Linked DNA regions of Mus musculus. The protein of the gene in region 2 interacts with the protein of the main gene of each other region in a pairwise test. Links are inferred from orthologs where the notes say so. Each region holds a gene or a part of one and is shown on either strand. Other genes may lie near its edges.

Evidence for each region.
Region 1: the proteins of Trip6 (region 2) and Sik3 interact in binary tests that used the Homo sapiens proteins (3 or more experiments, as listed by UniProt). The two-hybrid records come from large-scale screens. The link is inferred for Mus musculus from reciprocal best matches to the Homo sapiens genes TRIP6 and SIK3.

Annotation. Positions count from the first base shown.
Region 1 is NC_000075.6:46,011,620-46,015,361, forward strand, and holds the start of Sik3 (serine/threonine-protein kinase SIK3), read left to right. Parts: upstream 1-1,200; 5' UTR 1,201-1,238; coding exon 1,239-1,511; intron 1,512-3,742. UniProt on the Homo sapiens protein: Positive regulator of mTOR signaling that functions by triggering the degradation of DEPTOR, an mTOR inhibitor. Involved in the dynamic regulation of mTOR signaling in chondrocyte differentiation during skeletogenesis.
Region 2 is NC_000071.6:137,311,664-137,315,405, reverse strand, and holds the start of Trip6 (thyroid receptor-interacting protein 6), read left to right. Parts: upstream 1-1,164; 5' UTR 1,165-1,337; coding exon 1,338-1,446; intron 1,447-1,697; coding exon 1,698-1,825; intron 1,826-1,929; coding exon 1,930-2,055; intron 2,056-2,316; coding exon 2,317-2,700; intron 2,701-3,172; coding exon 3,173-3,266; intron 3,267-3,362; coding exon 3,363-3,532; intron 3,533-3,742. Other genes in the region: Slc12a9 (solute carrier family 12 member 9), read left to right, coding at 1-455. UniProt on the Homo sapiens protein: Relays signals from the cell surface to the nucleus to weaken adherens junction and promote actin cytoskeleton reorganization and cell invasiveness. Involved in lysophosphatidic acid-induced cell adhesion and migration.

The sequences.
Region 1 (3,742 bases), on a different chromosome or scaffold from region 2:
CTCCTGTGCCATGGAGGGAGATACAGGTGTGGGTAGAATAGCACTGGATACATGAGATACAATTATATAGAGGAATGCACACAGCCTTCTTCCTTCCTTTTCTAACGGACCAAAGGCTATCTCTCCTTTACAGCCCAATTTCCTATCCCCACCAGAGGCAGATAAATCAATCTACTTAATAAGGAAGGAGGAGGGGGAGAGGCTCAGTTACAGCCCAGGATGTGGAATGTCAGATAACAGGAGGGAAGAAAGAGGGATATGAGTTTTATTGCAGGGGTTATTAATTTGATCACTCTTAATGTCCTTGGAGAGTCATTAGTAGGGATGGAATTTATATTAGTTACTCGTTTTGCTTAACGGATTGCTCATCTTTAAGCATGACGTGGCCCTGAATGCAACACACTTCACCAGTACTAACCCAGCAACAGAAAACGAGTGAAGAGATTCTGACCAACTGGCTGGAGAATTGTTCCGAGTCAGGGGTGGCAGGAAGGAAAATGACGGTCCTTTTCTGGCCCTCACCCACCCAAAGACTGGAACGCATGTTTGGGATGGGTTCAACATCCTTGAATATGCAAACTCTAATTTCCGCACTCTTCTGTGTTCGATGACTTATTAGATTGATTGTACGAAGTGAGCTGGGCTTTGTAAGAGTTTTTGCTGAACAATTCCCCTGCCTTGCTACCAACTTGGTTACAGTTGCTTAAATACTGTAGCTATTCCTGCCTCTGTGGCCTCCAGGGCTAAAGTGGGACAAGGCTGGTATTTTTGGTGACGAGGAAATCCTTTTAAGGGAGGTTTGGTGATGACTGAACTGGGACACAGGTCGGAGCAGGGATCCCATCAGCGAACCAGGGGCCATCGGGAGTCTGGTTCTGGGGTCTCCCCATCTCATATCCCTACCTCGCTAGGCGCGGCGGAAGCTTAGAAGTTGCTGCTGACCCTCGACGTTTTCAATGCCTGTTCCCCAGAGGGGGGCACTAGGGAGCCGGCGCCTCAGGAACAGGGACCCACGCGGGAAGGTCGAGCTCGCCCGGTGAGGTCACGGTTGCCATGGCTTCGGGCAGTGACGCGCGTCCGCACGTGACGCGCGGTTGCCATGGCGTCGGGCGCCCGGCGGCGCGGGAGCCCCGCCTCCCGGAGTGACGTCTGTCGGCAACCCCCCTCTTTCGGCCCCCCCGCGCCCCCTCCCCCCCGGCCGGCTCCCCGCGGCCCCGGAGGTTTCACTGCACAACAAGATGGCGGCGGCGGCGGCGAGCGGAGCTGGCGGGGTTGCCGTGGCCGGAGCAGGGGGAGCCGGGCCGGCCGGCCGCCTGCTGCCTCCGCCCGCCGCGGGGCCCCCGGCAGCCCCCGCCGCAGTGCCCCCGGCCGCCGTCCCGGCGCGTCCCACAGCCCCGGCCTCCCGCGGGTCGATGGCCGCTCGCATCGGCTACTACGAGATCGACCGCACCATCGGCAAGGGCAACTTCGCTGTGGTCAAGCGGGCCACGCACCTCGTCACCAAGGCCAAGGTAGTGGCGCTGGGGACCGCGCGGCTGCGGGCTGCGCTGCCCGGGGGGCGTTGCAGCAGGGCGGTGGGGCCAGGGGAGTCCGCGATTCCCCGGGGCTCGGGTCAGGGTCAGCAGTGGGGACCGGTGCTGGCGGGAGAAGGCAGGGACCTCAGAGCGGAGGGGTTCCGGAAGGGGGGGCTCCGGGAACTTAGCAGCTGGACATCGGAGAGGTCCCCAGGGCTGTGCGCAGGGTCGGGGGGGGGGGGTGACTGGAAAGGAGGCGTTGGAACTCTCTGGGGGCCGGCGGACTGCACGCCAGGAAGACTCCGGAACCAGCAATTAGGAAACCATCAGAACGAGGGCAGGGGCATATGAAATGTGGACCACAGGATGGGGGAGACGCGCAAACTGGCTGCCTCAGGCTTCCCAGGACGGCTGGGGCATGGGGCTGAGGGTGTGCGGTGGGGTGCAAGACACCGGGAAGAGAAGGACCTGGCACCTATACCAGAGAAAGGAATCCACGTTTGATTATTTAAGACGGGGAGATGGTGTCAGTTGTAAGCCTGAGGAAGTATACTTGATTATGGGAAGAGTCAGTGAAGAAAGCAGGGAAATAAGGGGGAAAAAAATGGAATGGACCCATGACCAGATGTCCCAAGGCTCAGGGTTCCTGGTGACACTAGCTAACCAAGGGTTAAACAATTTAGGATAAGATGGTTTGCTGGTTATTTTTAGTTGTCAGAGGGTCTGAAATGGTGGGCTTTTTAGAACTCGGGGTGGGCTTTTCAGTAGGGAAGGGAACCGTGGGATTGGCACGACAGAATTCCACTCATTTGGGCCCTTTGGTTCCCAAGGGATTTGAGGAGCTGTAGTAGTGAAACTGGCCAAGGTCAGTTAGGAAACCATGTATGTATACGCATGTAGTATATTTTTTAAAGGACTCAGAGGGTAGCACTTTTACCTATCTTTCTTCATTGAGAGTATCAAGGAAAATCATTCAGTTTTGATGGAAGCCACAAAACCCATTTGAATTCCCAACTCGTCTTTGCTCAATACCTCACTTAAATGGATACTTTTAACGTAGTAGTCATTCCTTATATTTAAAACAGTAGCTTGAGTTTTTCTTCCGCCTGGCTAATGAAAAACCTTTACTACCTAAGCATGCTCCTCCGGGAGACCCAGGACTCCCCTCCCCTCCTCCCCCTGGCCGCTGTTTACCTTAGCCTACCTTGTTTTGGCTTTTATAGCAGTCCCTCCCTGCCAGGACTTATCTGGGCCTCGTATCCTGCTTATTGGCAACCTGAAAGTTCCTTTCCTTGCCTCTCTCTGTCAAAGACTACAAGGGGCCCTTCTTCCGAGGGTGGCGGCGGGCAGAGTGATTGGTCAGTTTCACTTCCTCTGGTGGGACCCCTTCAAGCCTCAAGTCTTCAGAGCCCTGTGACAGACTCAAGTGCGCCCTCCTGTTGCAGTCCCTCCCTCAGGTCCGCAGCTGGAGCCGAAGCCGGCATCTCCTTACCCCCTACAGTGTGTTTACTGTTGGCCTAGTCAAACTTGTGTTTACAAACAGAATGCCTCTGTCCCTTGTTTTCTCTCCCCTGTCTGCTTCTGTGGTTATTTTGCTCTGACCTCTGGGAAATGGACTCCACAAACATAATTGGTTGTCTGGCTACGTTCTCTATGATTTAAAGAAATTTGAATTTTTATATCAAAATATTGATTAAAAAAAATCTATGACAAGCTGGTTTGAGTGTCTTATAAACATAACTGCAAACAGTTGATTCTTGGCTTTATATATAAAAGGGACATTTCTGTTTTCAGTAGTCAGCAAAGCCAGGGCCTAATTATGGTTGGTTTGGTTGCTTTCTAGTGTGTGTGTGTGTGTGTGTGTGTGTGTGTGTGTGTGTGTGTTTCAGTTTCCCCTGAGACCTTGGTATCCTTTAGGACTGCAGCCTTTACAGCACTGGCATGTTTATAGACGGGTGTCACTGTTTATGTTGGTTTTTATCTTTGATCGTTTGTGGTGTGCAGTTATGCAGTTCCTATGTATGGAAATATTCAGACTTGAATGAGGCTGAAATGGCTGGGACAATGAGTTGCATGTGTGGAGGAGACCACACCAGCGTTTGTTTGTGCTTCTGTAGCAATGTGCAGTTTCCTGGCTCCAGCTCCAAGGGCCCTATCTTTCTGCTACTTAAATGACTCTGCTGCGAGTGAAGCTCGATTCACAAGGCGCTGTCACGTGCTCAGAGTGC
Region 2 (3,742 bases):
CCCGGCTCCGGATCTTCCTGTGCTTGGGGCCCAGGGAGGCTCCTGGGGCAGCAGAGGGAAGGCTTCGGGCCCTGTTGAGTCAACTCAGGATCCGGGCAGAGGTGCAAGAGGTGGTGTGGGGTGAAGGGGCAGAGACTGGCGAGCCTGAGGAGGAGGAAGGGGACTTTGTGAATGGTGGTCGAGGAGACGAAGAGGCTGAGGCTCTAGCTTGCAGTGCCAATGCCCTGGTGCGAGCACAGCAGGGGCGAGGCACCGTAGGAGGCCCTGGGGGACCCGAAGGAAGGGATGGGGAGGAGGGACCCACCACAGCCCTTACCTTCCTGTACCTGCCTCGACCGCCTGCTGATCCTGCTCGCTACCCCAGATACCTGGCACTGCTGGAGACCCTGAGCCGTGATCTGGGTCCCACCCTTCTTATTCACGGGGTCACTCCGGTAACCTGCACTGATCTCTGATGCCTGTTCATACAGGGTTGGATAGAGCGGGCCCAGGCTCATTCTGAGCAATGGACGCCCCTCCCCCCGCCCCAAGTGGGCCCTGCCCTTTGGATGATGTGTTAAGGGGACCATGGTCTCCTTTGGGCGGGGGAACGGACATAGTACACTAATTCTAGGTGGCTGCCCCATTGTAGGGGAGGACATTGCGGCCCTGTCCCTGGTCTTCCTCCGCTTCCTTCACTGGTGCCTTGACCAGAGGGGCTGGCCTCTTCTGTGACTCTAGGCTACCTCAGTGTCCCCATCCTGGCCACAGACGCACCGCCTCCCTCTCCCCGACTTCCTTGGGTGGTGATGTTTGTGTTTTGTTTTATTTTTCTAACTACTGACCATAAATAAAAGACCGAAACACTATGGGCTGGTGGAGCACTGCTGGTGGGTAGGTGAGAGGCAGCCGGGTGGGAAGGGAGAGAACCGTGAGGGGGTGGAGACAGATGCGTTCAGAGCCTGGGCCGAGAGGCTGCCACGTGCAAGACTGGGGCAGGGATCCGAGAGAATTGCTGGGCCAGAGCCTCTCAGAGCGGCCTGCAGCCCACCCTGCAGCTTGGCTCCGGAGGAGGGCGGTCTTCTCTTAACAGGAGGGGGCCAGAGAGGGGAAGGATTGTAGAATAAGGCTTGGGGCCACGTGACCCTCCCCTGGAATGTGGTGACGTCAGGGGGCGTGGTCGTCTCCAAAATTGGGGAGGAAGGGAGGAAAAAAAGCCAGAAAAAGTTTCTTTGCGGGAGTCCCAAACGGGGCGTGGGACAGTAAGGGAGGGAAAGGGCCCAAGGCTCCGAGCTCCAGGCTCTGAGCTTGTGGGGACCCTGACCTCTGTCTGGAGTGGAGTAACCCTATTCCAGACCATGTCCGGGCCCACCTGGCTTCCCCCGAAGCAGCCAGAACCCTCCAGACTCCCTCAGGGGAGATCGCTGCCCAGAGGCGCCCTGGGCCCGCCAACGGCCCACGGAGCAAGTAAGTGTTCCTCTCTCACACACGCCGGAGTAGCAGAAGAGCCGCTGGCCACCTTCCTTCACCTTTTCTCCCTTGCCTGCCTGCTTCCTGCTGTCCCTTTCCCAAACCAGAGGCCCCAGCTCTTGTGCAACTTTCCCTGACTCTTGGTTGATTCCCAGACTCCCGGGAATGTGAAGAAGGAGAGCCACCCTTAGAAGGGCAGCTCTACCGAGGTACCCTTCTCCAGTCCCACCTCCTGTCTCTCCCTTTAGCACTCCAGCCTCACCCCAGGGTCAACTTTTGCCCCCTCCCGCCTGAACACTGTTATCAGCCTCCGGGGGTACCGGAAGATCGGGGGCCTACTTGGGTGGGATCCCATGGAACACCCCAGCGCCTGCAGGTGAGAAGTGGAGATGAGGGTAGGGTCTCTCAGGGTCAAGGTGAAAGAAGTCTAGGTCGGGGGTGTCATCAGCATTTGTTCTTCCTCCTTTCCCTCTGTCTCAGGGGCTCCCTCCAGACAGGGGGATCATCCGCCCTGGCAGTCTGGATGCTGAGATAGATTCGCTCACCAGCATGTTGGCTGATCTGGACGGGGGTCGCAGTCATGCACCTAGGCGGCCAGACAGACAGGTGACTTCCTGTGTTCTGTCTCTGCTTCCCCATCCTCAGCCAGTTCCCTGCCCTAGCTTCTCAGCCTCAGTCCACCCTCTTCACTGCCCACCTACCCTCTTTGCAACTAATAAACACCTGGTTCAAGGAATCACGCACTTCCTCCTTGGCAGGCCTAGGCCATGGGAACTTGTCAGAAGTCATTGCTACCCTGGGGTTCCCACCTGGCACGCATGGATCTTGGGTCTGGCTTTACTGTTTCTGCATTGCTTGTCTTCCCAGGCTTTTGAGGCTCCCCCACCCCATGCTTACCGCGGAGGCTCCCTGAAGCCCAGTGGAGGTGCTGTTCCAACCCCGATGCTCCCAGCATCCCACTATGGTGGACCTACCCCAGCCTCCTATGCTACCGCGAGCACGCCAGCTGGCCCTGCTTTCCCTGTACAAGTGAAGGTGGCTCAACCTGTGAGAGGCTGTGGACTGCCCAGGCGAGGGGCCTCTCAGGCCTCTGGGCCTCTTCCAGGCCCCCACTTTCCTCTGACAGGTCGTGGTGAAGTCTGGGGGGCTGGCTATAGGAGCCACCGAGAGCCAGGACCGGGGGTTCCGGAGGGACCTTCTGGAGTACATATCCCTGCAGGAGGAGGGAGAGGAGGTGGGCATGAGCCTCAGGTAAGCTGGGGCTGGGCACTGTGGTTTGTGGTCACCGGAAGTAACTGGGCATTGATTAGGTGGCGTGGAGGCCGAGGAGTACTTAAGATACTGTTTTTAGGAGATGTTGGTAGAGTGCTTGCTTAGTATGCAGGAATCCCAAGGTTCTAGACCCAGCACTGTATAAACCAAGTGCGGGGGAGGTAGAGGCAGGAGAATCAGTAAATTAAGGTCATATTTGACGCACATAATGGGTTCCAGGCCAGCCTAGGCTATATGAGACACTGTCTCAAATATAAATAAGTGCATAAGTCAATCCCAGTTTTAAGGTACTCAGAGGTCAAGGATCAAGATGTCCAAAGGGAAGGGGCTTCCTTTCCCCCTATCAGCTTCTGAGAGATGTCCTCTGAGATTTTGGGGTTCCTGACTGTATGAGTTATTTATGGTGTCTGAGACTATAGGCAGCGCCTCAAAGCCCCAATTCTCACTCTAGGGCCCCTTAGGCCAACCTCCTGAAGAGGAACTGGAGAGACTGACCAAGAAACTGGTGCATGACATGAGCCACCCTCCCAGTGGGGAGTACTTTGGTGAGCTGACTGCTGGATAGGGTGGAGACAGGGAGGAGACAGAGGATCTGCTGTTGTGGGTCTGTGGAGGCTGATCTCGTTCCTCTCTGTCCTCAGGTCGGTGTGGTGGCTGTGGCGAAGATGTGGTGGGCGATGGAGCTGGGGTTGTGGCCCTGGACCGTGTCTTCCATATTGGTTGCTTTGTGTGTTCTACCTGTCGGGCCCAGCTCCGGGGCCAGCACTTCTATGCTGTGGAGAGGCGGGCATATTGTGAGAGCTGCTATGTGGTGAGCGGCTGGGCTGTGACAGAGGGATGCTAAATGAAGCATCAAGTCAGACAGGCAGGTTCCTGTCTAAGAGAGGGCCAGATACTCAGTCGGGTGGGACTGGAAGTCGGGTGAGGTATAAGAAGGAAGAAGCTAAATGTGGTGAGTTGGGCCTATCTGGAGGAGAGCCTGAGCTGCAGAGCAAGTCTGAAGGCAGCCCAAGGCGCAGGT